4 linked regions of the Pelodiscus sinensis genome follow. The main gene of each other region encodes a partner of the protein of the gene in region 2 in a complex. Links are inferred from orthologs where the notes say so. Each region holds a gene or a part of one and is shown on either strand. Other genes may lie near its edges. The genes, in order: EXOSC4, EXOSC3, EXOSC1 and EXOSC8.

Region 1 (7,955 bases), on a different chromosome or scaffold from region 2:
AGCATGGACTTTGTGTGGATACCGAACGTTTCTCTGTATGTGGCTGAGCAATGGGCAAAGCAGCTCAGCCTAGGGACCTGCTAATGAGCAAGTCTCCGTGGAACAATAGCCCTCCACAGGCCAAGGACACACCCCAAGAATGCTCAACTCTTCATCCTAGATGCAGCATTGCAGGGATCAACGAGCTGGAAAGAACTGTGGACCCGTCTGCACAGAGGATGTGCACCAAGGACTTTTAAGCCAGCAGTTATAACATCTCTGCTAGAGCCTGCATCGAGAACTGGGAGATTCGATGCATGGAATGTAGGATACTTTAACAACCTCACTCTCGGGCTTTTCTTTCTCTTAGTAATAAACCTTTAGGGTGCATCTAGACTGGCAAGATTTTGCACAAAATCATGCCAGTCTAGACGCAGCCTTAGATTTTAGATTCTAAAGGATTGGCTCAGCTTCTAGACTGGCTGTGTCTAGACTGGCATGAGTTTGCGCAAATACCTTTAATGGAAAAGTTTTTCCATTAAAAGTATTTGCGCAAGAGAGCGTCTACACTGGTATGTGCCTTTGCGCAAAAGATTTGCTTTTGCGCAAAAGCATCCGTGCTAGTGTAGACGCTCTCTTGCGCAAGAAAGTTCTGATGGCCATTTTAGCCATCGGGCTTTCTTGCACAAGAAATTAATGTGGCTGTCTACACTGGCCTCTTACGCAAGAGGGCTTATCCCTGAGCAGGAGCATCGGAGTATTTGCACAAGAACCACTGATTTTATACATTACAAAGTCAGTGTTCTTGCGCAAATACTTGTGGCCAGTGTAGCCGCACCCAGAATGTAAATTGACCAGGGATCTGCGGCTGGTTTCTTGGAACTGGACAGAACTTGTTTGGGGTAGGTGGGATTGGGTCCTAAACCCCCTCACCTGTGAATGAGGGCGGGGCCATCTAGGGCATGGATATTGCTGGGGTATTGGAGGGGTTTTGTTCGTGAGGCTTCTGACTGGCCAGGCAAGCAACTGAAGTGCTCTATGCAACTGGTTTGGGAAGGTCTCCAGGCTGGGGGCAATAGAGGGCCCCAAATTTGAGCAATTCGCCCTGAGCGGATGCCCTCAGCGGTGCCCAGACACGGCCTGGTCCGTCACAAGTAGTCAATGGAATTTCCTTAACTACTTGACTAGTTGATAGGAACTTCCGGATTCCTCCTTTGAAATGTACAGGAGGCTCCACCCCCGGGACCTCTTGTATATGTCAGAGGCCTGTGGAATCCGTGTGCAGCCTATGGCCAGTGGGAGTCCTGTTGACTCTGGGCTGCCCAGGGGTGCCAGCTTTGAAATGTACAAGAGTCCCCAGCAGGGGATGCAGAGTCCTGAGCTGGCCCCGGCTCCATGCGCCACTGCCACTTTGAAATGCTACGGGGAGCGGGGGTCAGCTGACCCCGGGCGCTGCTCTTTGAAGCACCCGCCTCCCACCCTTTGCTGCCAGGCTACGGCTACATTGGCAAGATTTTGCACAAATACTTTTAATGCAAGAGTTCTTGTGCAAGAGCGTGTCTACGCTGGCACGTGCCTTTGCACAAGAGACGTGCTTTTGTGCAAGAGCATCCGTGCCAGTGCCGACGCTCTCGTCCGCAAGAACGCTCCAGGGGCCGTTTCAGCCACCGGGCTTCCTGCCCCAAGGAATTCCTGTTGCCTCCTGCGCCAGAGCAGCGGGGCCGGGGCCGGATCCCTGAGCGGGGCCGGGGCCGGATCCCTGAGCGGGGCAGGGGCCTGATCCCTGAGCGGGGCAGGGGCCTGATCCCTGAGCGGGGCCGGGGCCTGATCCCTGAGCGGGGGCAGGGGCCTGATCCCTGAGCGGGGCCGGGGCCTGATCCCTGAGCGGGGGCAGGGGCCGGATCCCTGAGCGGGGCAGGGGCCTGATCCCTGAGCGGGGGCAGGGGCCTGATCCCTGAGCGGGGGCAGGGGCCTGATCCCTGAGCGGGGCAGGGGCCGGATCCCTGAGCGGGGCAGGGGCCTGATCCCTGAGCGGGGGCAGGGGCCGGATCCCTGAGCGGGGGCAGGGGCCGGATCCCTGAGCGGGGCCGGGGCCTGATCCCTGAGCGGGGCCGGGGCCTGATCCCTGAGCGGGGCAGGGGCCGGATCCCTGAGCGGGGCAGGGGCCGGATCCCTGAGCGGGGCAGGGGCCGGATCCCTGAGCGGGGGCAGGGGCCGGATCCCTGAGCGGGGGCAGGGGCCGGATCCCTGAGCGGGGGCAGGGGCCGGATCCCTGAGCGGGGCCGGGGCCGGATCCCTGAGCGGGGCCGGGGCCGGATCCCTGAGCGGGGCCGGGGCCGGATCCCTGAGCGGGGCAGGGGCCTGATCCCTGAGCGGGGGCAGGGGCCTGATCCCTGAGCGGGGCAGGGGCCTGATCCCTGAGCGGGGGCAGGGGCCGGATCCCTGAGCGGGGCCGGGGCCGGATCCCTGAGCGGGGCCGGGGCCGGATCCCTGAGCGGGGCCGGGGCCTGATCCCTGAGCGGGGCCGGGGCCTGATCCCTGAGCGGGGCCGGGGCCTGATCCCTGAGCGGGGCAGGGGCCGGATCCCTGAGCGGGGGCAGGGGCCGGATCCCTGAGCGGGGCAGGGGCCGGATCCCTGAGCGGGGGCAGGGGCCGGATCCCTGAGCGGGGCAGGGGCCGGATCCCTGAGCGGGGCCGGGGCCTGATCCCTGAGCGGGGCCGGGGCCGGATCCCTGAGCGGGGGCAGGGGCCGGATCCCTGAGCGGGGGCAGGGGCCGGATCCCTGAGCGGGGCAGGGGCCGGATCCCTGAGCGGGGCCGGGGCCGGATCCCTGAGCGGGGGCAGGGGCCTGATCCCTGAGCGGGGCAGGGGCCTGATCCCTGAGCGGGGGCAGGGGCCGGATCCCTGAGCGGGGCAGGGGCCTGATCCCTGAGCGGGGGCAGGGGCCTGATCCCTGAGCGGGGCAGGGGCCGGATCCCTGAGCGGGGGCAGGGGCCGGATCCCTGAGCGGGGCCGGGGCCTGATCCCTGAGCGGGGGCAGGGGCCGGATCCCTGAGCGGGGCAGGGCTTGATCCCTGAGCGGGGGCAGGGGCCGGATCCCTGAGCGGGGCCGGGGCCTGATCCCTGAGCGGGGGCAGGGGCCGGATCCCTGAGCGGGGCAGGGGCCTGATCCCTGAGCGGGGGCAGGGGCCGGATCCCTGAGCGGGGCAGGGGCCTGATCCCTGAGCGGGGGCAGGGGCCTGATCCCTGAGCGGGGCCGGGGCCTGATCCCTGAGCGGGGGCAGGGGCCGGATCCCTGAGCGGGGCAGGGCTTGATCCCTGAGCGGGGGCAGGGGCCGGATCCCTGAGCGGGGCCGGGGCCTGATCCCTGAGCGGGGGCAGGGGCCGGATCCCTGAGCGGGGGCAGGGGCCTGATCCCTGAGCGGGGGCAGGGGCCTGATCCCTGAGCGGGGCAGGGGCCTGATCCCTTAGCGGGGGCAGGGGCCGGATCCCTGAGCGGGGCAGGGGCCTGATCCCTGAGCGGGGGCAGGGGCCTGATCCCTGAGCGGGGCAGGGGCCGGATCCCTGAGCGGGGGCAGGGGCCGGATCCCTGAGCGGGGCAGGGGCCTGATCCCTGAGCGGGGGCAGGGGCCGGATCCCTGAGCGGGGCAGGGGCCTGATCCCTGAGCGGGGGCAGGGGCCTGATCCCTGAGCGGGGCCGGGGCCTGATCCCTGAGCGGGGGCAGGGGCCGGATCCCTGAGCGGGGCAGGGCTTGATCCCTGAGCGGGGGCAGGGGCCGGATCCCTGAGCGGGGCCGGGGCCTGATCCCTGAGCGGGGGCAGGGGCCGGATCCCTGAGCGGGGGCAGGGGCCTGATCCCTGAGCGGGGGCAGGGGCCTGATCCCTGAGCGGGGCAGGGGCCTGATCCCTTAGCGGGGGCAGGGGCCGGATCCCTGAGCGGGGCAGGGGCCTGATCCCTGAGCGGGGGCAGGGGCCTGATCCCTGAGCGGGGCAGGGGCCGGATCCCTGAGCGGGGGCAGGGGCCGGATCCCTGAGCGGGGCAGGGGCCTGATCCCTGAGCGGGGGCAGGGGCCTGATCCCTGAGCGGGGCAGGGGCCGGATCCCTGAGCGGGGCAGGGGCCTGATCCCTGAGCGGGGGCAGGGGCCTGATCCCTGAGCGGGGCAGGGGCCGGATCCCTGAGCGGGGCAGGGGCCGGATCCCTGAGCGGGGGCAGGGGCCGGATCCCTGAGCGGGGCAGGGCTTGATCCCTGAGCGGGGGCAGGGCCGCCCTGCGCGAGGAGCCCGGTCCGAGTTCCCGCGCTGGGGCTCCCGCCAGCGCCCACTCGGGCTGAACCTGCCCGTGCAGCCACCCCCCCCCCGTCTGACTGGGGCACCGGCCCCTCCCCCCCCTGCGCGGGGAAACTGAGGCACCAGCAGGCAGGGCCGGGTGGGAAGGCGGAGCGGCACAGACCGGAACACTCGCCCGCCCGCCTGACGGGGCCAGCCGCGAAGGGGGGCGGGAAGGGGCGGGGCCGGGGGCAGGGCAGGGCGCGGGGCAGGCCGGGAAGGGGCGGGGCCGGGGGCCGGGCGCGGGGCAGGCCGGGAAGGGGGCGGGGGCGGGCGCGGGGCAGGCCGGGAAGGGGACGGGCGCGGGGCCGGCCGGGAAGGGGGCGGGGGCGGGCGCGGGGCAGGCCGGGAAGGGGCGGTGCGGGGCCGGGGGCGGTGCAGGCCGGGAAGGGGGCGGGGCCGGGCGCGGGGCAGGCCGGGAAGGGGGCGGTGCGGGGTCGGGCGCGGGGCAGGCCGGGAAGGGGGCGGTGCGGGGCCGGGGGCGGGGCAGGCCGGGAAGGGGGCGGGGCTAGGCGCGGGGCAGGCCGGGAAGGGGGCGGGGCCGGGCGCCGGGCCGGCCGGGAAGGGGGCGGGGCCGGGCGCGGGGCCGGCCGGGAAGGGGCGGAGCCGGGGCCGGGCGCGGGGCAGGCCGGGAAGGGGGCGGGGCCGGGCGCGGGGCAGGCCGGGAAGGGGGCGGGGCCGGGGCCATGGCGGGGCTGGAGCTGCTGTCGGACCAGGGCTACCGCGTGGACGGGCGCCGGGCCGGGGAGCTGCGCAAGGTGCGCGCGCGCATGGGGGTCTTCGCGCAGGCCGACGGCTCCGCCTACATCGAGCAGGGCAACACCAAGGCGCTGGCCGTCGTGTACGGGCCGCACGAGGTGAGCCGGGCCCCCGCCGGAAGCGGCCCCTCCCCCCCCGGGCCTCCCCGCCGGAAGCGGCCCCTCCCCCCGTGTCCCCTCCCCCGCCGGAAGCGGCCCCTGCCCCCCGCGGGCCCCCCCGCCGGAAGCGGCCCCTGCCCCCCGCGACCCCCCGCCGGAAGCGGCCCCCCTTCGGAAACGGGCCCTCCCCCCGCGGGCCCCCCCCTTCGGAAACGGGCCCTCCCCTCGCGGGCTCCTCCCGCCGGAAGCGGCCCCTCCCCCCAGCCCCTTCCTTGCGGAGCCCCGCAGCTCTGCCCGGCGGGGGCGGGGGCGGGGTGACCCCCCCGCGAGCCGCCTCCCCGCCGGGCTTTGGCCCGTGTTCGGGACGAGCGAGTCCGGCCGGGAGCCCCCCCCCGCCCGGCGCTGCAGCCCGCGTGTCCCGCCGTTGCAGATGCGCGGCGCCCGCAGCAAGGCGCTGCACGACCGGGCGCTGGTGAACTGCCAGTACAGCATGGCCACCTTCAGCACGGGCGAGCGCAAGCGCCGGCCCCACGGCGACCGCAAGTCCAGCGAGATGACCCTGCACCTCAAGCAGACCTTCGAGGCGGCCATCCTCACGCGGCTCTACCCCCGCTCCCAGATCGACATCTACGTGCAGGTAGGGGTCACCTAGCGCCCCCCGGCCAGAGGCCTGAACCCCCCCCCGGCCAGGGGCCTGAACCCCCCCCGGCCAGGGGCCTGAACCCCCCCCGGCCAGGGGCCTGTACCCGTAACCCCCCGGCCAGGGGCCTGTACCCGCAACCCCCCGGCCAGGGGCCTGTACCCGCACCCCCCCCACCCCCCGGCCAGGGGCCTGTACCCGCACCCCCCCCACCCCCCGGCCAGGGGCCTGAACCCCCCCCGGCCAGGGGCCTGTACCCGCACCCCCCCCCCCCCCCGGCCAGGGGCCTGCACCCGCACCCCCCCCCCCCGGCCAGGGGCCTGTACCCGCACCCCCCCCCCCCCCCCCGGCCAGGGGCCTGTACCCGCACCCCCCCCCCCCCCCCCGAGCCATGGGCCTGTAGCCGTGGGCTGCTGGCTCTGTGGTTTACCCAGCTCCCCATACGGAGCTGGCAGCTTCCTGGTTTCTGCTGTGCCTGACCCCAGTTGCCTGGAGTAGCTCCCTGGAGTATGGGGGAAGGGGTTTCAAGCCTTGCTCAGTGCTGTGTGGGCCTCACCATGGGGTGACCATGGGACATGAGGAATCATCTGGGCCTTCAGCCAGCTGAGCCATTGGGGAAGGAGGTGGTGACCTGTGTGGGGCGCTTGCTGGCTCCTGCACTAGTGTGGGGAGGTTGTTTGTGTAGCATTCCGGAAGGGATCAGCCATGTGCGTTCTGCTCACTCCCCCACTGGTTCCCTGGGCTGCCTAGACAGCAGTGCCAGGTGAAGGGGCGTCTGCCCAGGGCTTATGTTGTTTCACAAGCCAGTGATGCTGCTTTCTAAGGAGGGTTGTGGGCATGAAAGGTCTAGTCCTGAGCTTTGTGGGGCCAGATGCAGAGTCGCTCAGGTGCAGCCTCCTCTGCTCCCTTTGCTGAGTGCTCTGTCTCCCCAGATCCTGCAGGCAGACGGTGGGAATTACTGTGCTTGTGTGAACGCGGCCACGCTGGCCACCATAGACGCAGGCATCCCCATGCGAGACTATGTGTGCGCCAGCTCTGCCGGCTTCATCGAGGACACGCCCCTGGCTGACCTCAACTACGTGGAGGAGGCAGCTGGGGGCCCCCAAGTGGCTCTGGCCCTGCTGCCTAAGTCGGACCAGATCGCCCTGCTGGAGATGAACTCGCGGCTGCACGAGGACCACCTGGAACAGGTCATCGAGGCTGCCAGCAAGGCCTGCAAGGATGTCTACGCTGTGCTGGACCAGGTGGTGCGTGAGCACGTGCACGAGGTCACCACGCTGCTGGGGGAGTGAGCGCACAGGCCTGTGTGCCTAGAACCAGTGCTGCACGTGACTGTGGGTGGGGACAGGGAGCGCTGCCGTGGCCGCCGCAGGGATCGATTCAGCCAAAGCCCATGCCAACACTGCCCCTTTGTCCAGCTGCTTTGTTCTCCGATGTGCACACTGGGCCCAGGTTGAGCACCTCTGCTGGGCGCTAATATCACATTGGTACATGTGAATGCCCCGCGGCGTCTGTCAAGCCTGGTGTTCCTCGCTGGGTGATGGGCCCTGACATGGCTTCCTGGATCTGTAGCCATGGCTGCTGACTCCTGGGCTGTTGGCCTCTCCCATTCTCCTAGGCGCTGCGAGAGGCTGGGGCGCGTGGCCCGGTGGATAGCTGCTCGATCCGTAGATATCAGTGTCTGTTCCTTTGTAGGGGACTGCTGTAAATAAAACATTGTTTTGGTGGAAATTGTATTGTGTGGGCTACCCCCTGGCTGAGTGCAGGGCAGCAGAGAACCAGTGCTGCTGAAGATACGGCCCATGCGAAGTCTGGCGCGTCCCCAGTGCTGGAGGAGAGATGGGGGCTCTGCTGTACCCGTCTCTATTGTGGCTTGGTCCCTGCCTATGACAGCTCCTAGGAAGACTCCAGCTCACACAGGATTAATCGGGGAACCTCCCCTCCCAGACGTCCCCTCTGCTTGCTCACGCTGCTCCCGGGGCTGGTAGGACGGCTCCCTAGGCACCACAGCCTGCCTGCTGTCACCATCACTCCCTGGCCTGCCAGGCTTCGTGCCAGCAAAGCTGCCAGTGCTTGCTGATTTAGAGGAGATGCTTCTGGTGCAAGGCCAGTGGCCTAAGCTGGTCTGGGAAAGCCATTCCCAGGTGACCAG
Region 2 (7,370 bases):
GTTGTGGACACTTTGGCAAGTGGTGAAGCTGTTGAAACAAACCAAGAACCATCAAGAGATAAAACTGAGGGGCAAGATGACTCAATACATGAGTGAGAGTGAGCTGAGTGAATCACTACGGGTATGTCTACACTGCATTCCTCTTTTGAGAGAGGACTGCAAATGCAGCTGAGCGAAATTGCAAATGAAGCATGGATTTGAATTTCCCGTGCTTCTTTTGCATAATCGTGTCCAGGCGCTATTTCGAAATATTCTATTTCGAAAAAAGAAACGCTGTCTAGACGCAGTTATTTCGAAAGAAAACCCTTCTTTCGAAATTCCCCAACGCCTTATAAAATGAGGTTTAAGAGTAATTTTGAAAGAAGGGATTTCTTTCGAAGTAACCGCATCTAGACAGGGTTTCTTTTTTCAAAATAGCGCCCGGACACGATTATGCAAATGAAGCATGGGAAAGTCAAATCCACGTTTCATTTGCAATTTCGCTCAGCTGCATTTGCATTCCCCTCTTGAAAGAGGAATGCAGTGTAGACATACCCTAATTGAGAACACAGCAAGCAAAGCTCCTATGAAGCTTGATGAGGTGACTTGTAGAACACAGCAAACCTAGGAATGAATAAGACATGAAAACCAAAGATACAGTAGTTACACATGACAAATATGTATCCAGTGAATACCTGAAATTAATATAAAGACAAAAAATAAGGTATGTGAATTGACTAAATTAATGTCTTCTTGTATACAGTGCTCTGGATATGAGTACGAAAGAGTCTTCCTTTCTGCTCATGATGGGCCACAGATACCAATTTGATTACTATATCTGTAATTGCTAATTTTGGAAATAGTGTATCCTTTAGAACAGTTTTTTAAAAGGTTAGATTTTAGCTAAAACTCAGGCACAAGGCAAATGGAACTGGCAACTTTACATTTTGCCTAAACAGCATCTTGAATTTCTAGTTAAATAATTGCATAAAATATCTTCTGAATAATTGCAACTGTGCACATACTAAATTTAGAATTTGTTTAAACTATATGAAGTTTTTAATAAAGTTTAACACCGCTCCTGTGACATATCATATTTTAAAATCTGAGATATTAAAAGCCTTTTATCCTGTACATTCAGTTGTCTATAGTTTTTTATTATTATTATGCATACTTTGGAACCAATTTGAATGAAGTGTCAAAAATCATGTTTTCTTTAATGTATTCAGTCAAAATAATGTTGATGAAAAGTTGTTGGGGGGGGGGATTCCTCAATAAAAATGTATGATTTTAAAACACCATAACACACTTATGCATGTGACTTCCCTCTCTCTAAATAGAAGAGCTTCAGTCAGCCTGTAAATTGGCTTTTCATAATGTAAGAAATTCCAGATGGGGTAAGGGAGAGGAAGAGAAGGCTATTTTATAGCTAATTATGCTTCTCTAGAAAGGTAATTTACAACCCTCAATTGAATGTAACTTCTCCTGAAGTCAGGTGGAATTCTGGAAGAAAACCCTAAATCTACAATTAGCTAAAACTGCATAGTAAGTAGTTACTGCATACTACAGTTAAGATGGTAAATGGCAGAACACACACCATCCATTCCGTCTTTATCTGCGTATATATTTTAGAGTGTGTGTGTGTGTGTGTCTGTCTGCGAGTCCATTTGTTCAAGAAGTCCTTCTAAAGGGTAAGAGCTAGTGCCACCAAATTTGGAGTGCAGCTCCCTCTTCACCTAACTTAAAGCAAGGTCTGGGTTTGGTTGTGCCAGGACAATTGAAAGCCCGGGGAAAAGGACAGTTTTCCATAACATGCAAAGGGAGAGACTGCTGTTCAGAGGGACACAATATGAGAGTAGCTGCTGGGGGCAGCTGTACAATCAAGGGAGTGACAAGCAGGGCTGGGGCTCTGCCATTTTTCCTGCCAGCAAGCCAAGTAAGTATCCTTTAAACTGTTTTCCCTCTTCCTGGCCCTTGGCCACAGCACGGGGGAAAGGGGACAGCCCCTGGCAGCAGTGAGGAGATCTAAGGGGGGAGAGAAAAGGCCTGTGCCAGATGGGCCTCCTCCACCCTGAGCTTCCCTTTATCCCCCAACCCTCACTTTCTTAACCCCCGCAGCCTCCAGAACTCCACACACACACATTCCCAAGGCCCTGCCCTGACTCCTACATCCCCACAATATCAGCCCCTTGTCCTGAAGGACCCAGTACATAATAGCATATTGCATAAGGCATCCACTTCTGTCCAGAAGATACCCCAAAACAAAGGAATGCAAAATCCCATTTAATCAATTAACTTGTTAAATGTTACAGTTAACCACTTAATTGATATCCTGTGGGCAGGAAGCCCAGGGAGGCTGGAGCTGACCCCTTCCTGTCGCTGCACAGTGGGCCACAGTTTTTAGCACTAGGTTAGGGATGCATCTACAGAATGTGATACTGGAGAAGGCACAAACACAAGGTATGTCTAGACTATGTGGCTCCATCGATGGAGCCATGTTGATTAGTTTACTAGACATAGGAAAATGAAGTGGCAATTTAAATAATCGCCACTTCATTTACATCAAAATGGCTGCCGTGCTGTGCCAATCAACTGTTTGGCGGCACAGCACTGTAGTCTGGACGCTCTGCGGTCGACAAGGGAAGACTCATAGAATGAGGTTTACCGGGGCGGTCAACAAGTGCTTCCTTCGTCGACCATGGAGCGTCCAGACTACCGCGCTGTACCACCAAACAGCTGATCGGCACAGCGTGGCAGCCATTTTGATGTAAATGAAGCAGCGATTATTTAAATTGCCGCTTCATTTTCTTATGTCTAGTAAACTAATCTACATGGCTCCGTCGACGGAGCCATGTAGTCTAGACATACCCACATAGTCTGAGTTTGTGGCAGTTGGCTAAGGTCTATACTATCCATGCTCACTACTCCAAGGGTGGGATTTCTTCTGCCCTGAAACTTCTGAAATCCAGAATTAAAAGTTTTCTATTACATCTATCTTATGCTATTTTCATCAGTATTCTGGATGTTCATGGTACGTTTTTCATAAGCAAATAAACTTAGGCTATGTCTACACTACTTGGGCAAAAACTTGCAGAGCGTCTACACTGCACGTGTGTTCTTGCACAAGTAAATTTATAGTACAGCGTCAGAAAACAGGGCTTCTTCCGGAAGAGTTATTCCTTTCCCCACAAGGAATAAGCCCTCTTGCGCAAGAGCTCTTCCACAAGAAGGCAGTGTAGATGGGGTAACATGAATTTCTTGTGCAAGAAACCCCTATTGCTAAAATGGCCATCAGAGCTTTCTTGCGCAAGAGAGTGTCCACACTGCCATGGACGCTCTTCTGCAAAAGCACATCTCTTTTGCAAAAGCTCATGGCAGTGTGGACGCACTCTTGTGGAAGACCTTTTGCACAAGAACTCTTCCGCAAAACAGTTCTTGCGCAAGAAGCCTGCCATGTAGAAGTCTACATGTTTTTGCCTATTCTTGCGCAAAAACGTGCGTAGCGTCTACATTGCACGTGTGTTCTTGCACAAGTAAATTTACAGTAAAGCATCAGAAGAGAGAGCTTCTTGCACAAGAGTTATTCCTTTCCCCCCTGTGGAATAAGCCCTCTTGCGCAAGAGCTCTTGCCAAGAAAGCAGTGTGGACGGGAAAAGGGGTTTCTTGCGCAAGAAACCCCTATGGCTAAAATGGCCATTAGAGTTTTCTTGCACAAGAGAGCGTCCACACTCCATGGACATTCTTGCACAAAAGCACATCTCTTGTGCAAAAGCACATGGGGGCGTGAACACGCTCTTGCGCAAGAACTTTTTGCACAAGAAGCCTGCAGTGCGGACATAGCCTTGGGGTTCTTTTTATTTAATATCATGGCAGAAAATTGGCAGGTGAATTGGCAAGACAATTTGACAGTTATACTAATGAACCCCTGGTATCTTTATTTGGCCAGGTGATGTCGCCAGTGGTTAACAATTCAGGGGGACATGAGTTTTCCGTTTTCTAACTCCAGCTTCCTAGTTTAACATTAGCAGTTTGTACAGGCGAATCAGAGACGTGCGGGTTGTGCACAGTTCGGCTGGCACCCGCCCATCGCAACAAGCGGGCCTGCTCCCCTGCAGCGCTACCGCAGGCCGGGTAATGTACAAGCCAGTTCCTTACAGGAACCTCACTCCGGGTCTTCGGGCTTGCACGCGCCGCCGGGCGGGGCTGTTCGGAGTGACGTCCCCGCCCATTCTGCCGGCTGAGGCCCTAGCCAGACTTGTGCGCATGCGCAATATGGACCCGCTACCCCCTCCCTCCGCCGCTTTTCGGCGCACGCGTCCCCCCTCGTTGCGACCATGGCGGCCGAGGAGGGGGCCCTGCCCGCCGAGCAGCGCGTGGGGCAGGTGGTGCTGCCGGGGGATGTGCTGCTGCTGCCCTCGCACCCCGAGGCGGGCGGGGAGCGGCTGTGGCTGGGCGCGAGCGCCGCGCTGCCGGGCCGGCTGGTGTGCGGGCCGGGCCTGCGGCGCTGCGGGGCCGGGCTCCTGGTCACCAAGTGCGGGCTGCTGCGCCACCGCCCGTCGGGCGGGGCCGGAGGCGGCTCGGGCGGCGCCTACTGGGTGGACTCCCAGCAGAAGCGGGTGAGCGCGCGCGCGCGGCGGCGGGTGGCGCGTGCGGCCAACGTCTCCTCCCCCCCCCCCCCCCCCGCGCGCGCTACCTCCCGCTCCGTGGAACCCGCCGCGTGATCGACCCAACGTCTGCGCCCTGCCCCTCCCCCCAGGGGCGAGTGTGGCGGGGCACAAGCGCTAAAGACAGAGCCCATTGCTACTGACATGATTCACTGGAGCAGGGCTAGTGCCCCTGAAGCGCCTCTGGTTGCAGGATTAAGCCACTTCCAGGAGCAGCAGTTGCCATTGGGGTAATAACTCCAGTAGGTTCGGCATTTTAGAACTGGCTGCTCCAATAATTACATTTAAACTCAGAGAGAAATGAAAAGGATGAAATGCACAGACCAGTCAACAACCCAAAATCACACGCTTTGCAAGCAGTAAAAGAAATCACCCCCCCCCCCCCGCACACACGTATGTTTTGGGTTGGGAGATGAAAGTGAAGGACAGTGTGTGCCTGTGAGAATGACAGGCACACATAGTGTAGGAGAGTGACAGATTTACATTGCCAAGCTCCCTCCATCCCCTTTTCTCTGTGGAAGTGGAGAGAGGAGAGACACCCTGCACAGCAAGCAGGAGGCTCGGCGGGGGGGGGGGGAGCAGCTCCAAGGCAGAGGGCAGGAGCAGCATGACAGTGGGTGGAGGGGCAACTGAAGTGCCAGTGCTTGATAGCTTCCTGGCCAAACTAGTCAGGATCACCTGTCAGAGGCTCTAAGGTCTACCAGTAGATCCCAATCTACTGGTTGGTGACCACTGAGGTAGTGGCTCCGTCCTCCCTCCCTGCACTGCTGCCTCTGTATCAGAAGCAGCAGTGCGGGGGGGCTACACGTTACAGAGAGGGTTAACCAATGAGCCCTCACACACACAAACACGCGCGTGCGCGTGAACGATATGTTTCTCTTGTTACATGTCTTAATCCTAAAGTTTGTTTTCATTTTCAGTATGTACCAGTCAAGGGAGATCATGTGATAGGCATAGTGACTATCAAAGCAGGTGATATATTCAAAGTGGATGTTGGTGGAAGTGAGCAAGCATCTTTGTCCTACTTGGCATTTGAAGGTGCAACCAAAAGAAACAGGCCAAATGTGCAGGTAATTTTGTTATATATATATATTGGCACTATCAAAGCCCTTAAAATACTGTGTTTTCACTTTCTTGCAAATTGACAATTAAAATTTCCTCATATATTTATCCGTATCTTAGTCAAAAGATGTTCTGGTATATAATAGATTTTTAGTGAAATGTACAAACATTTTCTTTGCCTTTTCTCCTAGCTTTTATGTTGGACCCTGGCAGAGGGAGGGATTTTCTTCCTTTGATCACTGACTATCACAGTATTAGTTGCCAGATTTTGCCATTCATTATACAGAGGGTGTGCAGCTGTGTCACAGGGAGGAAATGGCACTTCTGTGATAGAATAGCTCTTCAAAGAGAGAGTCTGAGATCAATTTAGGCCTAGAATTCAGGTTACATAAAACAGGCTCTTACAAAATGTGACTGTCGTGCTGTCTTGAGTGGCTCTCGACTATAGTACCTAACTCAGGGCAGACTATGAAACAGGGCAGACATGTTAAACTGGTGATGAATTATATAATTAAATGTCACCAACTCAGTAACAAATATGAACACCTGGATCATAGACAGTTCCCTTAGACATTCTTTATCTTGCCACCCAGACAAGAGGAGCTTAATGATAAATAGTTAGTTACACCAAAAATCACACCATGTTCAAGTTGCTTTGTTGCTTTCAGTCCACAAGACAATCATTTACCCCAGATCAGTTGATACTAGGGATGTAGGCGAGTAGTACCTGTCGCTTCCCATCCCCGTTAGTGCCTCTGCATGAGAGGCAGCAAGGGGGAGGAAACAGGAGTCGGCTTAAAAGCTGGTTTTCCCCAGTGTTGCCTGCCCCCTTATCCCCACTGATAGAGACAGCAGCAGGGGACATGGGAGGCTGCCACAGAGCAGGCTCTGCCCACTGCAAACCTGGCACAAGCTGGGACCAAGCAATTCCAGCTTGTGCTGATCAGGGACCACTGCAGCTCTGCCTGTGCACCTGGCTCCTACAATTAAACTGCAGAGCTGCAGTGAGGGTAGCTCCTGAACCAGCACAAGCTGGGACTGAGCACCTTCCCTTATCAATTAATCGTGAAGTCAATACAAATTGTATCGACTACACAATTAGTCAGTTACCCATCTCTTAACATCCTTAGTTGGTACTCTAGAACTTACACCAAAGACAGTGCCTGTAGCCAATCCTCTAATAAGCTATCTAAAGGTTTAAAAGTCTCAGAGATGTAGTAGGTTGTTCTCTTGAAAGTTCATGAAACAATCTACATTTTTTTTGTTAGTCTCTAAGGTGCGGCAGGACCGTTTGTTGTTTAAGTTTTATCTAAAGGTTTGTTAACTAGGAAAAGGAAATGAGTTCATTGTAAGTTAAATAAGCAAGCCTGTACACACAAATGAACCATTATCTAAATCCTAAAAGTACGAATGTTGTAATAATCTGTCAATTCCAAGTGTCCTTCAGGGCAGATTTAGGGGAAACCTCTGGGAATCTCTGCTTCAGTTTAAAGCCTGTGGCCCTATCAGAGTTCAAACAGCAGAGAGAGAGATGGAACATTTTCAAGTCTACAGGGTAAGCGTCTTTGCATGTAGCAGTTTCAGTGTGGGATGAGGCCATTAATTAACCTATTGTATCAGGATCTGATTGTGATACCCTACTTTATAGGAGGGAGAGAATTCTCG
Region 3 (7,689 bases), on a different chromosome or scaffold from region 2:
GTCCCCCCCCCACACCCCCCCACCGTCAGCCCAGGGCTGTCCGCCCGCCACGCCCCCACCGCCAGCCCAGGCCTGTCACCCCGCCAGGCCCCCCACCGCCAGCCCAGGGCTGTCCTCCCGCCAGGCCCCCCACCGCCAGCCCAGGCCTGTCACCCCGCCAGGCCCCCCACCGCCAGCCCAGGGCTGTCCTCCCGCCAGGCCTCCTCCCGCCAGGCCCCCCCCCCCCGCCAGCCCAGGGCTGTCCCCCCACCAGGCCCCCCCACCGCCAGCCCAGGGCTGTCACCCCGCCAGGCCCCCCCACCGCCAGCCCAGGCCTGTCACCCCGCCTGGCCCCCCCACCGCCAGCCCAGGGCTGTCCCCCCGCCAGGCACCCCCACCGCCAGCCCAGGGCTGTCCGCCCGCCACGCCCCCCACCGCCAGCCCAGGCCTGTCACCCCGCCAGGCCCCCCACCGCCAGCCCAGGGCTGTCCTCCCGCCAGGCCCCCCACCGCCAGCCCAGGCCTGTCACCCCGCCAGGCCCCCCACCGCCAGCCCAGGGCTGTCCTCCCGCCAGGCCTCCTCCCGCCAGGCCCCCCACCGCCAGCCCAGGGCTGTCCCCCCGCCAGGCCCCCCCACCGCCAGCCCAGGGCTGTCACCCCCGCCAGGCCCCCCCACCGCCAGCCCAGGCCTGTCACCCCGCCAGGCCCCCCCCACCGCCAGCCCAGGGCTGTCCCCCCGCCAGGCACCCCACCACCAGCCCAGGGCTGTCCCCCCCCCACGCTCCCCACCGCCAGCCCAGGCCTGTCACCCCGCCAGGCACCCCCACCACCAGCCCAGGGCTGTCCCCCCGCCAGGCCCCCCACCGCCAGCCCAGGGCTGTCCCCCCCCCACGCTCCCCACCGCCAGCCCAGGCCTGTCACCCCCGCCAGGCACCCCCCACCGCCAGCCCAGGGCTGTCCCCCCGCCAGGCCCCCCACCGCCAGCCCAGGGCTGTCCCCCCCCACGCTCCCCACCGCCAGCCCAGGCCTGTCACCCCGCCAGGCACCCCCCACCACCAGCCCAGGGCTGTCCCCCCGCCAGGCACCCCCACCACCAGCCCAGGGCTGTCCCCCCGCCAGGCACCCCCACCACCAGCCCAGGGCTGTCCCCCCACCACGCCCCCCACCGCCAGCCCAGGGCTGTCCCCCCCGCCAGGCCCCCCCACCGCCAGCCCAGGGCTGTCCCCCCGCCAGGCCCCCCACCGCCAGCCCAGGGCTGTCCCCCCGCCAGGCCCCCCACCGCCAGCCCAGGGCTGTCCCCCTGCCAGGCACCCCCACCGCCAGCCCAGGGCTGTCACCCCCCGCCAGGCACCCCCACCGCCAGCCCAGGGCTCTCACCCCGCCAGGCCCCCCACCGCCAGCCCAGGGCTGTCCCCCCACCGCCAGCCCAGGGCTGTCTTCCCGCCAGGCACCCCCCACCGCCAGCCCAGGGCTGTCCCCCCGCCAGGCCCCCCCCACCGCCAGCCCAGGCCTGTCCCCCCGCCAGGCACCCCCACCGCCAGCCCAGGGCTGTCCCCCCACCAGGCACCCCCACCGCCAGCCCAGGGCTGTCCCCCCACCAGGCACCCCCACCGCCAGCCCAGGGCTGTCCCCCCACCAGGCACCCCCACCACCAGCCCAGGGCTGTCCCCCCACCACGCCCCCCACCACCAGCCCAGGGCTGTCACCCCGCCAGGCCCCCCACCGCCAGCCCAGGGCTGTCCCCCCACCACGCCCCCCACCGCCAGCCCAGGGCTGTCCCCCCGCCAGGCACCCCCACCGCCAGCCCAGGGCTGTCCCCCCGCCAGGCCCCCCACCGCCAGCCCAGGGCTGTCACCCCGCCAGGCCCCCCACCGCCAGCCCAGGGCTGTCCCCCCGCCAGGCACCCCCACTGCCAGCCCAGGGCTCTCACCCCGCCAGGCACCCCCACCGCCAGCCCAGGGCTCTCACCCCGCCAGGCCCCCCACCGCCAGCCCAGGGCTCTCACCCCGCCAGGCCCCCCACCGCCAGCCCAGGGCTGTCACCCCCGCCAGGCCCCCCACCGCCAGCCCAGGGCTGTCCCCCCGCCAGGCCCCCCACCGCCAGCCCAGGGCTGTCCCCCCGCCAGGCACTTACCACCCCAAACCAGCGGGTGACATGGTCTACCAGCCAGTAGATGGGCTCGAAGAGGGAGTCGAGCAGCACGTCGCTGTTGGTGAAGGAGTTGTAGAGCAGGGAGTGGAGGCAAAGGCGCCCGTAGCGCCACAGCTGCTGCACCCGCCACACCAGCCTCAGCCTGCGTCGCCGGCCCACGCGCAGGCACTTCAGAAAGAGGCGCATCACCGCGGAGAACGCCCGCTGGCGGCTCCTCATCCCCACCGCGCACCGTCTGCGGAGAGAGCCCGGCTCAGCGCCACCCGGACCTGCCCTCCGCACCGGGGCAGCGTCCCCCGGACTGGGCCAGTGCTCAGCAGCGGGAAGAGACTCACAGGCTCACTCCCCGGCCGTGCGTGGCGCTGGGCCGCCTTCAGCTCCCTGCTCTGGCAGGGTTTCTGCCTCTGCCCTGCTGGCAGTGCCCCCTGGCAGGCACAAGCCACCCCTCTGGGTCGGGACGGGGGTGCCGGAGACCTTGGTGGGCCCAGCAAGGGGAATGAGCCCGGCTCCTGGGGCACAGGAGCGCAGAGCCTTCTGCTCCCTGCCCCCATCCCGGCTCAGGTGTTCACTGGCCCAGACGCAGAAGAAACCAGAGACGGAGCTCAGGGCACTCACAGGCTGCCAGCGTCGCCAGAGACCCTGGCGCTCAGAGCCAGGGAGCCCGCAGGGGGGGACAGGCGGCATTAAAAGCCCACCACCCCATCTCCCACCTCCCTCCTGAACCCGGCCCTGGGAGCTGCTTGCGCACAGCCCCAGCCAGGGGTGTGATCTCTGTCCACCCCCGAGTCCAATTCAGTGCAGGGCGGCCCTGGAAGCCAAGGCACAGCCCCTGGGCGGAAGCAGGATGAGCTGGCCAAAGGGGGCAGTGGGCATGGGGCCCTACCAGGCTGCTCACCTGCCTGCTGAGCTGTGCGCACTGGCCTGCAGTCAGCTGGAGTGAGGAGGAACCTGAGCCTGCCCGGGCATGGAGCCACCTCCCTGAGGCACACCCAGCATCAACGAGGAGAGGCTGCCCCCAGCAGGGCTCAGGCACAGAGCTGAGCACAGCGTGTCGAGTAGGCAGCCCAAGCAGGGGCCCTGGAGCCGGCTTCTCGGCCTAACTAGCACCTGTCTCTGGGGAGGACTGGCCGAACAAAGCCTCTGCCCTGCCTCTCAGAGGCCTGTCTCCTGCAGCGCTCAGCCTTGCCCCAGACTAGGCCCTTCTCCCCACTGCGGCCCTATAATACTCCCTCCCAGGCCGGCTCCTCCAGCCCCGGCATGTGGGGCTGGGGCAGCTCTCCCTCTGTTTTCTCTGGCCGGGATGTTCAGCGAATGTTTTACTTGGGAAGGCTGACGGGGGGAGGGGTATCACGCACAGCCGGCGGGGGGGTTCTCACTGTCTTTTGAACGTGCCCCACCGAAAAGGGAGGCATCCGATTTCAGAAAATACTGCGGTGAATTAAAGCAGGTGCACCCGATCTCTGCTGGGCTGGCGTCTCCAGGCCAGGGTGCGGGCTAAGGGTGGTGCTGTGCAGCGGGTGGGAATCCCACAGGCAGAGGATCTCGTCTACCCGAGGCTGTTCTGATGCACCCATCACCCTGGAACCAGGCCTCTGTGTCTCCCGCCTGGCAGGCAGCTCGGAGGGCGCTGCACCCCAGCGTGTCCATTGCAGGACGACCAGTGTGTGCTCGGGGCCTCTCCGCCGCGGATGGGGGAGGTACCCACCCACCGCTGGTCCTGGGGGGCGTGAGCCGAGCCAGGTGCCCAAACCCCCGGCCGGGCCACAGACATGGGGGTCTGCAGAGCCCCCTGCAGCAAGAGCCTCCCGCGAGGGCACGGACAGGGGGGCGTCACTGCCTGGGGGCCACAGAGGGAGACAGCCCCCGCCCCCCCCGCCCCCCCTCCGAGGACACCCCCTCCGCGAGATACCCCCTCCCCCTGGGAACCCCCCGTCCCCCTCCGAGACACCCCCTCCGCGAGATACCCCCTCCCCCTGGAACCCCCCGTCCCCCTCCGAGACACCCCCCTCCGCGAGATACCCCCCTCCCCCTGGAACCCCCCGCCCCCCCTCCGAGAGACACCCCCTCCGCGAGATACCCCCTCCCCCTGGAACCCCCCCGCCCCCCTCCGAGACACCCCCTCCGCGAGATACCCCCTCCCCCTGGAACCCCCCGCCCCCCTCCGAGACACCCCCTCCGCGAGATACCCCCTCCCCCCTGAACCCCCCGCCCCGCCCCCTTGGAACCCTCCGCCCCGCCCCCTTGGAATCCCCCGCCCCCCTCCGAGACACCCCCTCCCCCTGGAACCCTCCGCCCCGCCCCCTCGGAACCCCCGCCCCCTCCGCGAGATACCCGCCCCGCCCCCCTTACCTGCCGGCCCGCACCCCGCCTCCATCTGCCCCGGCCCCAGCCCTCACCGCCGGCCGGGCATCACCCCGGTACCTGAGGCTCACTGCGCCTGCGCGGCGCGCCCCGCGGAGCATGCCGGGAGCTGTAGTCTCTCCGCTCCAGACTGCAACTCCCGAAGCGCCCCGCGCTGGCCGGCGTCCCCTCCCCGCAGGCGGTAGCGGTCACGTGGGAGCACCGGCCAATGGGAAACTTCCTTCCCGGGGAGCTGCGGAGCGGCAGCATGGCCCGGCCGGCGCGGTGCTGCGTGCCCGGTGAGCCCCTCCCCCTCCCCCTCCCCGCCCCCCCCTTAACCGTCCCGGCCGGCTCGCGCCCCCTCCTCCCCTTACCCCCCCTTAACCCTCGCGCCCCCCTCCCCCTCACTGCCCCCCCCGCCGGCTCGCGCCCCCTTCCCCTTACCGCCCCTCCCCCCCTCACCGCCCCCCCCCGGCTCGTGCCCCCCCGCCGGGCTGACGCTTGCTGTCCCCAGGCGAGCGGCTCTGCGGGCTGCAGGAGGCGGCGCCGGGCAGCGGCACCTACACCCGGCTGGGCTCCGTGTGCGCCGCGCTGGCCGGCGGCCTGCTCACCACGCGCCGGGACGGAGAGGTGAGGGGGGGCGTCCTGCTGCTGGCCCCCTGCAAGCCCCGCCCCCACCTGAGTGCCCCGCCCCCGGAGGACCCGCTGGAGTCTGGGCACGGGGGGTGCAGCTTGCCGGGGGGGGGCGTCTGGGCACGGGGGGTGCAGCTTGCCGGGGGGGGTGCTCGGCCTGAGGCCATGGACGCGGGCAGACTGGCTGTCTCTGGGGCAGGCGAAGGGCGATGTCATGGGAGGTGTCTGCTGCAGGCCTCCTAGCCAGGACAGAAAGGGGCTGAGGGGTTTTGACCCACCCTGTGGATGTGAAGTGAGCCGCCTTGACATCCGCAGGTGTGGATGCCTGAGACTACCCATGGGCTTGCAGGGCCCTAGTGATGGGGGACTTCAGCGGCCAGGACATCTCTTGGGAATAGGGAGCTCAAAAGCCACCTAACAATGTGACCGCTCCAGATCCCAGGGTCACGTGCTGCTGGCTGTGCGGTATAACACTTATACGGAAAACCCACAGTGGAGCCTCCCAGGGAGCCAGCGAGTAACCGAAACGGAAACTGATCAGCTGAGGCTTGTGAGCGGCGGGGTTGAGGCTTATGGGTTAAGCGGTTGCACTGTTACGTCCCCGGCTGGGAAAAGAAGGCAGCAGGGCACAGGGCATCCAAGAGGAGTCTGGAGTGTATTGCAGAAAGCATCTGTGGGAGGCTGCTCTAGGTTTGATTTTGACAACTAGGGAGGAGCTGGTTGAGAATTTGAGAGTGGAAGGCAGCCTGGGTGAAAGCGAACAGGAAGTGGCGAGGTAAGGAATGGTGGGAAAGGCCAGCCCAAGAGCGACAGTGGGATTCAAGAAGGCAGACTTGAGTAACTCGGGGAGTTGGTAGGCTAGAGCCCATGGAAGCGAGTCTAGGGGGAAAGTAGCTCTAGAGAGTTGGTAGTTTTTCTGGGTGACACTTTCGGGCACAGGAGAGACAGGCAGTCTGGCCAGAGACCACCCAGGAGAGCTCATTGATCTGAAATTCAAGATTTGAGTCCTGTGAAAAGCGGGGAGTAGGTCACATGACGGAGGATGACTAAACACGTAACTGAAGCATGCAGGGACGAGTGCTTGGCCGGGCTGGGCCGGGCCTGGTGGACGTGGTATGCCGACACTGGCTCTGTGGGGGTGGGAGGTGGCCGTGCCAGGCACAGGGCTAACCAAGGGCTCCTCTCTACGCCTGTGCAGCTGCCGGTGGTGTCTGTGGTGAGAGACGTCGAGTCCCAGCTCCTGCCCGACGTGGGGGCCATTGTGACGTGCAAGGTAAACGCCTGCCTGGCCGGCTCCGCTGCTGGGTCTCTTGCTGCAGGAGCGCCGCGTTCGGTGGGGGGAGGGCAGGCCGGATGCCTGTGCAAGGACCGGAAAGGGTTACAAACCTCCTCTGCTGCTCAACCTCTGGCTGATCCCCTCTCTGCCTCATGCCAGGCTTCTCCGCAAGGGGCTGGCGGGCTCCGGGGTGGCTCTGTGAGAGGCAGGGAGCCTCTTGGCTCCCTGGCACCAGTTCCAGCCAGCCCACTCTGCTCTGGGAACCAAGTGTCGGGGCGCGGTGCCCCCTCCATCGCTGGCATTGGCACCCTCAGCCTAGAGGCCATGGAGGCCGAATTCCTGCTTTCCACCAAGGGGCTTCCGGGGGCAGCCTGGAGGGGAATAGGCTGCTGGTTGGGAGAAGCAGGTGGGTGTGGCTGGGAGTTGCAAGCTCTCCCCGGAGCGGAGTGTGGCAGTGAGTCGATCACCGGGCAGGGGAACGGGGGGCTCTGACTGGCTGTGGGTGGGTGGTTAGGTTAGTTCCCCTACAGTGGAGCAGGGGCGGGGCCAGTCCCTGCTGGTCTTGCTGCCCAGTACTTGGGTGCCTGGGGGAGCTATGCTTAGCTGGGGGGTCATGCCAGATTCTCCCCACAGGTGTGCAGCATTAACTCCCGCTTTGCCAAGGTGCGCATCCTCTACATCGGCTCCACGCCGCTGAAATCCACCTTCCGAGGTACCATACGGTAAGGCCTGACCTCACGGGCCCATCCCCAGGGTCTGGGGGAGGGTGGTTCCCCCTGTACTTTACCAATGTATGCCCAGCCCTGCCTGGGGAACAGAGCCAGCTCTGCTGCCCTGCAGCTCACCCCTTGTCCTAAGACTGGCTCCTGCAAGCTAATGCCTTCTGCCCAGTGCCGGGCCGCGTCCTGGGGAACGGCTGCATAAGCCCTGATGGGGCAGCCAGGGCTGCGTCTCCAGAGAGGCGAGCGTGGCCCTGGGCCCAGCAGGCGCGGGCTGAGATCTCGCTGTCTCTTCTTACAGGAGAGAAGACATTCGAGCCACAGAGAAAGACAAGGTCAGTCGGCTGCTGCCTGCTTCTGTTTCTGCCCAGCGCTTGGCTGCCACCCTCTTCCCTGCACATGCGGCCCAGGCCAAACCCCCAGGCATGGCTCACCCCATTCAGCCCCAGCTCCTGAGGTGGCTCCCTCTGGGAGGGGAGCTTGCTGACCCCTCATCTCAGAGGGCACCCCACTCCCCTCACTGGGACAGGCTGAGCTGGAGGGTTGGGGTTCTTGGCTGCCTCTTGTGGGGCCTGCTGCATGGTACCAGAGT
Region 4 (7,818 bases), on a different chromosome or scaffold from region 2:
CACTGCTATTGTGACTCACAAAAAGAAGCACTGGGAAAGGGTGAGAGGTGCAAGTTCTGGGAGGGAATTTGAGTGCAGGAAAAAGTAGAGAAGAGGATGCTGGCTCAGGGAGAGGGCTCTAGGCTGGACAGTGTTGGGGTCAGGTGGAGTCTTGGGGTGCTGAGCAAGCCACAGGCTTGTTGCTGTGAGGGTACAGGAGTTTGGGCTGGGGTGCATGAGGGGATCAGGGCAGGGAAGCTGAGAGTATGATGGGCTCAGGACACAGACTTGCAGGTGTGGATGGTGCAGGAGTGTTGTGGCAGAAGACTGGGGATGAGGGTGTGCAGGAGTTTGGGGATGTGAGAGGCTTAGGACAGGGGGTTCCAGTGAATGATAGGCTCAGGTTGGGGCCTGGAGGGGAGGGAGGTGCAAGAGTGTTATGATGCTGAGGCCAGATGGAGAACTGGCCCCAGTTGGGGGCTTGTTGGCCAGGCTTCATTTTTAAATAAAATATGTCAAACACAAAATGTTTCAGCATTGTCTTTATTTATGAGAGGGGCGGGGAACCTGTTTTGAGTCAGGGGTCACTGACCCACAGAAAAGTCAGTCAGGGCCACAAAAGTGAGATGCAAAAAAACAACTCCTCCCAAACCCCCCAACCCTCACTAATGTGGCCCCAACTGTGCTGCTGGGGGCAGCGGATAGGGTGCTGGGGCAGGGTACTCATGGGGGGGGGGGGGGGGTCTGGCCAGGAGGAGGGGACAGAGACAGCTGGGGCCAGTACCTAGGGATCCCGGGTCTCAGGAAGTTGCTGCCTGCTCTTCCCCTTCCCTCCCCCAAGGATCCACCCCGGGCTCTAACCCAATCTCCCTCCCCTTCCCCAGAGCCAGGAACATCCCCCCCAACTCAATACTCCTCCCCTTCCCCAGAGTCAGGAACACACACTTCCCTAAACCCAATCCTCCTCTCCCCTCCCCAGAGCCAGGCACGGGCCCCCCTCAATACCAATCCCCCTCCCCCCCACTCTAATCTAATTCTCAGGTCCTGGAGGTGGAGCCGCCACTAACAGCTAGACGCGTCTCCCTCCAGGTGCCGGGGTGTGTGCGCTGAGTGGCCGGCCTTGAGATGTGCTGGCTGGGACACCGTGCACACGCCTCTCCCTCCCCCCCCCGAACCCAACCACCCTTCCTTTCCTTTCCTTCCCTTCCCCTCCCCTCCCCTCCCATCCCATCCCATCCCCCAGACTAGAGCCAGGCACATCCTGCAGGGTGGGAGGAACCCAGAGCTCAGGCTCCAGGCCAAGCTGGGAAGTCTACACTACAATAAAACAGTACTGCAACCCGAACCCTACGAGCCCACATCAGCTGGCTTTTCATTGCAGTTTAAACATACCCCGAGACAGCACCTATTGTTCTTGTGGCCGATCAATTTATAGACAAGGACAATACATACATACTCCTTCTGGTGGCTCTTACTGCAGTGAGACAGATAAGACAACAACATGATCTGCAGTGCCAGCAGTAAGTAGACAGCCTCCAGCTTACAACTCTTTCACATCAGAAGGACCTTTATAAGTTAAGGCTAAATTACTTGCCCAAGATCATACAGGAAGTACATGGTAAAGCCAGGAATAGAATCCATATCTCCTAAACAAGACCATTCTTCCTTCCTTCTGCCTGATTAAAGCCCCTGCTATAAGTTCCAGAGTGTGAAATTCTAAAAAAAACCAATATGGATATTTTTACTCCTAACCTCCCATACTGACTTTAAGAGTCACTGAAGACCAGCTTAAAGTGGCTTTTGTAATCTTTCAGCAACCTAGTTAATAAATGTCTACCTTTATTTTACACAGTTTTAGTAAAAATTGTTTTTTGCAGAAAGTAGTTTAATTTCTGTCACTAAAAAAGCATGTCTGGACTCTATAGAAGCTCTACATGCACAACTCCATTTACTTGATTGCGACCTGAAAACTTGGTAAGCAAAATGGCTACATAATCTGCAATTTTCTGTTGCTGACATTCACCAGCAACACAAAACTTAGTTTGTCTCTCAAAAAGAAAACCAAGAAATATTCTTACACCTGTCTTCCTCATTGTATGAAGGCACAACAACAGAAAGCTCCTTTGTAGGGGGGTCATGTATGCTTGGTATAGATTCCTTCTTCCCTTCAGCATTTACAAAGAACTTCTCTTCTTCATGTCGATGAAGATTTGGCATTTTTGTGGCAGTTATATGGGCAACAATAGTAATCTGTGAAAAAACAGAAATGGTATTTATGACAATGTTGCATTAAGCAAATGCTATATTCATTTTTTGCATAACCACATTTGGTTAGGTGTTCAACTATTCTAATTTACTGAACAAAGGATGGTCAATCATATCTGTGGTCTACATTCGAGTAATTTAAAGTCATTCCTATTACACCATCAGGGTCATCCCAAGGAGTCACAGGTTCTGGGGAAACCCTCACCCCATTTGTGCAGCCCAAGGTAAGCCCCATCCTACAAGCCCTGCTTCTTCCCTTCCCAAGCCCCATAATCTCCCAGGTACCTCCTGTCCATAGGATGGATGGAGGAGCCGCAGGGCCCTCTCCAAAGCACAGGGCCTTGGACGGCTGCCCCAGCTCACCCTATGGATAGGATGGCTCTAACAACCATGGTAAAGTGGGTCCATTGAGGAGTGCTCTTTTATCTGCTGCACAGATCAAAAAGGAACTTTACCGGTTATGATTTATAGTCTTTATATGGCATTTAGTGGTTCCATTTTATCTACACAGGATATGGCTCCAGGTTCCCAGCAAGTTGCAAATGAAATTTTCAACTAGAAAAGGCCACCATAAATTTGACCCAGTGAACATTTTCTAGACCCTGGTGCACAACAGTTCTAAATCTTGTAGCTATACCCACTGCATTAGTTGATAATTAACTAAAAATCTAGAGCATAGCAAGCATTAGCAGCAACATCTCTAATATTAAGCAAGTCCATACAAGAAGCAAATCTTATCACATATAAAACTGATATTAAATAATGCAATTAAGTAACAACTTTTGTTTTCCATTAAAAATACCATACACACACACATATAACTCACACAACACTACCACTACGAGCAGACTAACTAGAAAGAAATACTGCTGAATTAAGAGATAGGCCACCATAATTTGCAGTAATCATAAACTTCAGTAACTGTGGAATTACGGATGTAAGTGATTAATCGACTATCCGATAAGCAAAAGTTAGCGAATAGTCGACACACTAGTTGACTAGTCGCTTCCGCCCCCTTGCTGCCTCTTTCATAGCAGGGAGTCCTTTGGGGGCTCTTGTGCATTTCAAAGGTGGAACATGGACGTTCTTATCGACTAACCGAATAGTCGATGGAAATCCCATCAACTATTCGATTAATTAATTAATCAAAATTTAACATCCCTATGGATGTTATCATTTAACATCTCTGTGGAATGAAATCTTATGACTTACAAAAGTAAGTGAAGAAGGAAAGAGGAGAAAAATGTATTAAATATATAGGTAATATGTTTGCATGTCATATATCCTACTTCTGAGTCTCCAGAGTGTCTGAAATCTCATGTCAATTAGACACTTCGAAATTGCAAATGAAGCCAGGATTTGAATTTCCTGCACTACATTTGCATAATTGTGTCATGGTGCTCTTTCGAAAAAGCGCTATTTCAAAAGTGAAACTGCAGTCTAGACACGGTAATTTCGAAAATAGAAGCTTTTTTTGAAAGATCCTGTTGAAAGACAGATGTAGTCTACAAAAGCGACGAGGAGTCCTGTGGCACCTTATAGACTAACTGAAGTGTAGGAGCATAAGCTTTCGTGGGCAAAGACCCACTTCATCAGATGCATGTAATCTAGACACCCCCTCATTTTCATCTTCTTGACTGTAATGAATTTGGGGCAGGGACTGTTTACATCTATGTCATATAACAACACACACACACTGCCTGCACTTACTAATGTGTCCTGCTAGCTTCTCTAACACAGCTACCAAATTCTTTGAACAAAATACAGTATTTAAATGGTTCAATTTTTCTTAAAATTGGAAAAGTGTAGTTTTATCCTCAAACTAAATGCTACAATGATTACAGGTAACATAGAGGAGAGCAGCAAAAATGATATAAAAGCTTAGAAATCCTGGCCTACAAGTACAGATAACAAAAAAACCTGGGCTTGCTTAATCTTTAAAAAAACGACTGAGGGGCAACCTGATAACAATTTTCAAATACGCTAAGGGCTGTAAGAAAAGGGACAACTGTTCTGCACATCCTGTGAAGGACAAAAAGTAGTGGCCTGCAGCAAAGGAGAACTGCTTGATATTAAGAGAAATGGCTTCCCAGGCAGGCTGTGGAATCCCCACCTTGGGCCATTATTAAGAGCGTGCTGGACACTCGACCTGCCCGTCAGGGACAGTCGAGGGGTTACACGGTCTAGCTTCGGGGAGAAGGGCTGGGCTTTGTGAGATTCCTTCCAGCCCCACACTGCAGCGGGTCTAAAGCTGCGACCGCCCATCCGGGCCGGGCCGAGCCTGTGGCCCCAGGCAGTCTCGTGCGGGGGAGCGGGAGCGTGGCCCCTCCCGCCCAGCGCCCCTCGCCGGGGTCCCGTCCCGCTGCCGGTCGGGGCGCTGGGCTGCTCCCCCCGCGGAAGGGGGCGGGGCCGCGCCCAGCGAGGGGCTCTCAGCTGAGTCGGGGGCTGCCCCGTGAGCGGCGCGATGCCCCTCAGGGGCCGCACTCACCAGGCTCAGGGCTGCGGCTGCCAAGGCAGCGAGCGCGGCGGCCACGTCAGCCAGGAGCGGCTCCATGCTCCATGCCGGGCGCGGCCTATGGGGCAGCTCCAGCGAGGCGGAAGCGGCCCTGACAACAAACCGCTGCGACGAGAGGAGCCGCTTCTCAGAGCGCCCGGGCCCCACAGCGCCCCCTGCCGGGAAACCTCCGCCCCTCCCGGCCAGCATCCGCCCAAGGGGCAGATGGGGGAGGAAGGGGCACGGAAGTGCGTCCCCCCCGGAACCGGAAGTAGATCGCGCAGGGGCGGAAGCGGGACTATGGCGGCCGGATTCAAGTAAGAGACTGAGCGAACAAGCTCTTTGGCCTTCGCCTTCAGTCACCTCAGCGGGAGCTGCGGCTTCGCCCAGGCTGCTGCCGAGTCCTTAGGCCCGGCGGTCGCAGCGGCGTCGGGCGGTGCCCGGGTGCAGAGGGTTTAGCCTTCATGTGGCGCCCCCTGGCTGTGGCTACTCGCCGCACGCCGGGCCCCGAGCTCTGCCAGGCCCGAGCTTGGGAACCGATTCCTGGCGGCTGTGAGGGGCCGCTCCCCCCGCCCTGTCTGCAGCGCCTGCTCTCAACAGCCCGCCTTGGGAGTGGGGGCGGGGACGAAATACACCGCCCCTTCCCCCCCAACTCTCACTTTTCCCTGGCAGAGCATGTCCACCCACCGCTTGTCATTCGTGGTCTTGGCAATCGAGGGCCTGTCTCCTGCAAGCACGTGGCACGTGCACTTTTTTTTGCCTGTGACTAATTTTAGTGAGTTCACTGGGGCTCCCCATACTTATAGCACGATGCTTGTGCAGAATTATTTATAGGATTGTAATTGAGGCCCTTACTCGCTATGGTAAAATCAACATTCGGTTTTCCCCTCCTCTTAAACTGACTTAATTCTTAGATTTTGTATATTTCATTCTATCTGAATTTATCTAGATTTCAAAACTAAAGACTTAATAGCTGTAACTGCTGTTGAATTAAGGGTTTGGGTCAGTAATAGGACTGTGCCCTTTAGCAGCCAGACAGTGTTAAGGGAGAGACCAACTTTCTACCTCACTACACCCTCTCTCCAAATTATTCACTTTCAATGTAACATTGCAGTTTGCTACAGAAAAGTTCTTTCAATTTCAATGAATTACAGAAATACATTATTCTTCCCACATCCCTAAACCTTACAGCAGTTATGGTTCTGAGTTACATTGCATCATATGTTTTGCCAAAAAAGTGAGTTGTCATAGCCAGCTAAGGCATTTTGAAATGTGGGTCTTTGTCTATGTTAGAGGAAAAGTCTTGGTAGAAATCATAGCAACTGTAATCTGTTCCTAATCAATATGAAGACCAAATGTTAGAGTTGCTGGAGTGGAGGAATCCATCTGAGGACAGTTAGAAGAAAATGGGAGTTAAGTGTAAGAACTGATTGAACAAGGAGTCCCAGGTGTTTGGGAAAGAAAGATTTCTGCATTGATCCAACTCTCTTTGCTTCTCTCCTGTGTGTCTCAATCTTTAAATGGGGCACAGTAGATTGTACAGGCAGTCCCCGGGTTACATGGATCCAACTTACATCGGATCCCTACTTACAAACGGGGTGAGGCAACCCCACACTAGCTGCTTCCCCCCAGCAGACCAGGGAGATGCGAAGCTAGCGCGTCGTCCCCCCTCCCCCCAGCAGACCAGGGAAACGCGGAGTGGCTTTTCTCAGCAGACACCTCAGCTTAAGAATAAAGAACTGAGGGAAGTGAGGTGTGGGAGAATAAAACTGAGCTCTGGAGAAATGTTTGGCTAGAGTTTCCCCTACAATATGTACCAGTTCCGACTTACATACAAATTCAACTTAAGAACAAACCTACAGTCCCTATCTTGTATGTAAACCGGGGACTGCCTGTATTGCCTGAGCCAGTGAGGTCTAGCCCTTGGCTGTGTCTACACTGGGCCACTTATTCCGGAAAATCAGCTGCTTTTCCGGAATAAGCTGTGAGCTGTCTACACTGGCCCTTGAATTTCCAGAAAAGCAACGATGCTCTACTGTACAAAATCAGCCGCTATTCCGGAAAAACTATTCTGCTCCCGCTCGGGCATAAGTCCTTATTCCGGAACACTGTTCCGGAAAAGGGACAGTGTAGACAGCCCAGTAGTCTTTTCTGGAAAAAAGCCCCGATCACGAAAATGGCGATCGGGGCTCTTTTCCGGAAAAGCGCGTCTACATTGGCCACAGATGCTTTTCCGGAAAAAGGGCTTTTCTGGAAAAGTAACCTGCCAATGTAGATGCTCCTTTTCCGGAAAAACTGAAAATGGAATAGTATTCCGTTTTAAGCATTTCCGGAAATTCATGCCAATGTAGACACAGCCCTTATGTCTATGCTAACTGGGGATAGCTCAAGGAATACTGACATTAACATTACCCTTCTGCTTGTAAATTGTCATACATATGTCCGATTTATGTTGGCTTAGAAAATGTAATAAAAGTTCTGAGTTACCTTTTCCATAATTTGTCTTCAAAAACATTAGTTTGAACAAAACTTGAGGGCCTTGTGTCAAAGATTAACTGTGCTGCAAACAGTGTTGTATCAGTTTCTAGTTGTGGAACATTGTGTCTTCTCAGTTTTTCTGTTCTCTGTTTTAGCCTTTGTCTCCACTACCAGGTGGATCCATGCTGCAGCAATAAATCAACCAGTGGTTGATTTAGTGGGTCTAGTGAAGGCCTGCTAAATCAACTGCCAAATGTGTTCCCAGTGAGTCTGGTACTCCACTAGAACAAGATGCATAAAATAAATCAATGGGAGAGTTTATCCCATCAAACCAGAATAGTGTAGACACTGCAAGTAGTCGACCTAAAGTATGTCAACTTCAGCTATGTTATTCACATAGCTGGAATTGTGCAACTTAGGTCAACTTTATTGTGATTTGAAAAATTGTGTCATTTTAGGGAGTGTGCAGAAAACAATCTGAAACATTACATTCTATGTTAAAAATAATGTTGAATTACTAAATTGGTGTATTTAGTAACTTCTGTGAAGAGAAGCATTATGTATTGGTGCTCCAAAGAAACACAGATAGATATAGGATAAGT

What was found.
Region 1: EXOSC3 (region 2) and EXOSC4 share a complex: the UniProt entries of both Homo sapiens proteins name them as parts of the RNA exosome core complex. The link is inferred for Pelodiscus sinensis from reciprocal best matches to the Homo sapiens genes EXOSC3 and EXOSC4.
Region 3: EXOSC3 (region 2) and EXOSC1 share a complex: the UniProt entries of both Homo sapiens proteins name them as parts of the RNA exosome core complex. The link is inferred for Pelodiscus sinensis from reciprocal best matches to the Homo sapiens genes EXOSC3 and EXOSC1.
Region 4: EXOSC3 (region 2) and EXOSC8 share a complex: the UniProt entries of both Homo sapiens proteins name them as parts of the RNA exosome core complex. The link is inferred for Pelodiscus sinensis from reciprocal best matches to the Homo sapiens genes EXOSC3 and EXOSC8.

The regions. Positions count from the first base shown.
Region 1 is NW_027465833.1:42,685-50,639, reverse strand, and holds EXOSC4 (exosome complex component RRP41), read left to right. Parts: upstream 1-4,942; 5' UTR 4,943-4,992; coding exon 4,993-5,163; intron 5,164-5,593; coding exon 5,594-5,800; intron 5,801-6,735; coding exon 6,736-7,095; 3' UTR 7,096-7,534; downstream 7,535-7,955. UniProt on the Homo sapiens protein: Non-catalytic component of the RNA exosome complex which has 3'->5' exoribonuclease activity and participates in a multitude of cellular RNA processing and degradation events.
Region 2 is NC_134718.1:14,179,523-14,186,892, forward strand, and holds the start of EXOSC3 (exosome complex component RRP40), read left to right. Parts: upstream 1-4,256; 5' UTR 4,257-4,313; coding exon 4,314-4,595; intron 4,596-5,563; coding exon 5,564-5,713; intron 5,714-7,370. UniProt on the Homo sapiens protein: Non-catalytic component of the RNA exosome complex which has 3'->5' exoribonuclease activity and participates in a multitude of cellular RNA processing and degradation events.
Region 3 is NW_027465990.1:87,916-95,604, forward strand, and holds the start of EXOSC1 (exosome complex component CSL4), read left to right. Parts: upstream 1-4,633; 5' UTR 4,634-4,698; coding exon 4,699-4,768; intron 4,769-4,983; coding exon 4,984-5,099; intron 5,100-6,300; coding exon 6,301-6,375; intron 6,376-7,011; coding exon 7,012-7,100; intron 7,101-7,398; coding exon 7,399-7,432; intron 7,433-7,689. UniProt on the Homo sapiens protein: Non-catalytic component of the RNA exosome complex which has 3'->5' exoribonuclease activity and participates in a multitude of cellular RNA processing and degradation events.
Region 4 is NC_134711.1:294,865,613-294,873,430, reverse strand, and holds the start of EXOSC8 (exosome complex component RRP43), read left to right. Parts: upstream 1-4,721; 5' UTR 4,722-4,819; coding exon 4,820-5,055; intron 5,056-5,101; exon of another isoform or gene 5,102-5,296; intron 5,297-7,818. Other genes in the region: ALG5 (dolichyl-phosphate beta-glucosyltransferase), read right to left, coding at 2,058-2,196. UniProt on the Homo sapiens protein: Non-catalytic component of the RNA exosome complex which has 3'->5' exoribonuclease activity and participates in a multitude of cellular RNA processing and degradation events.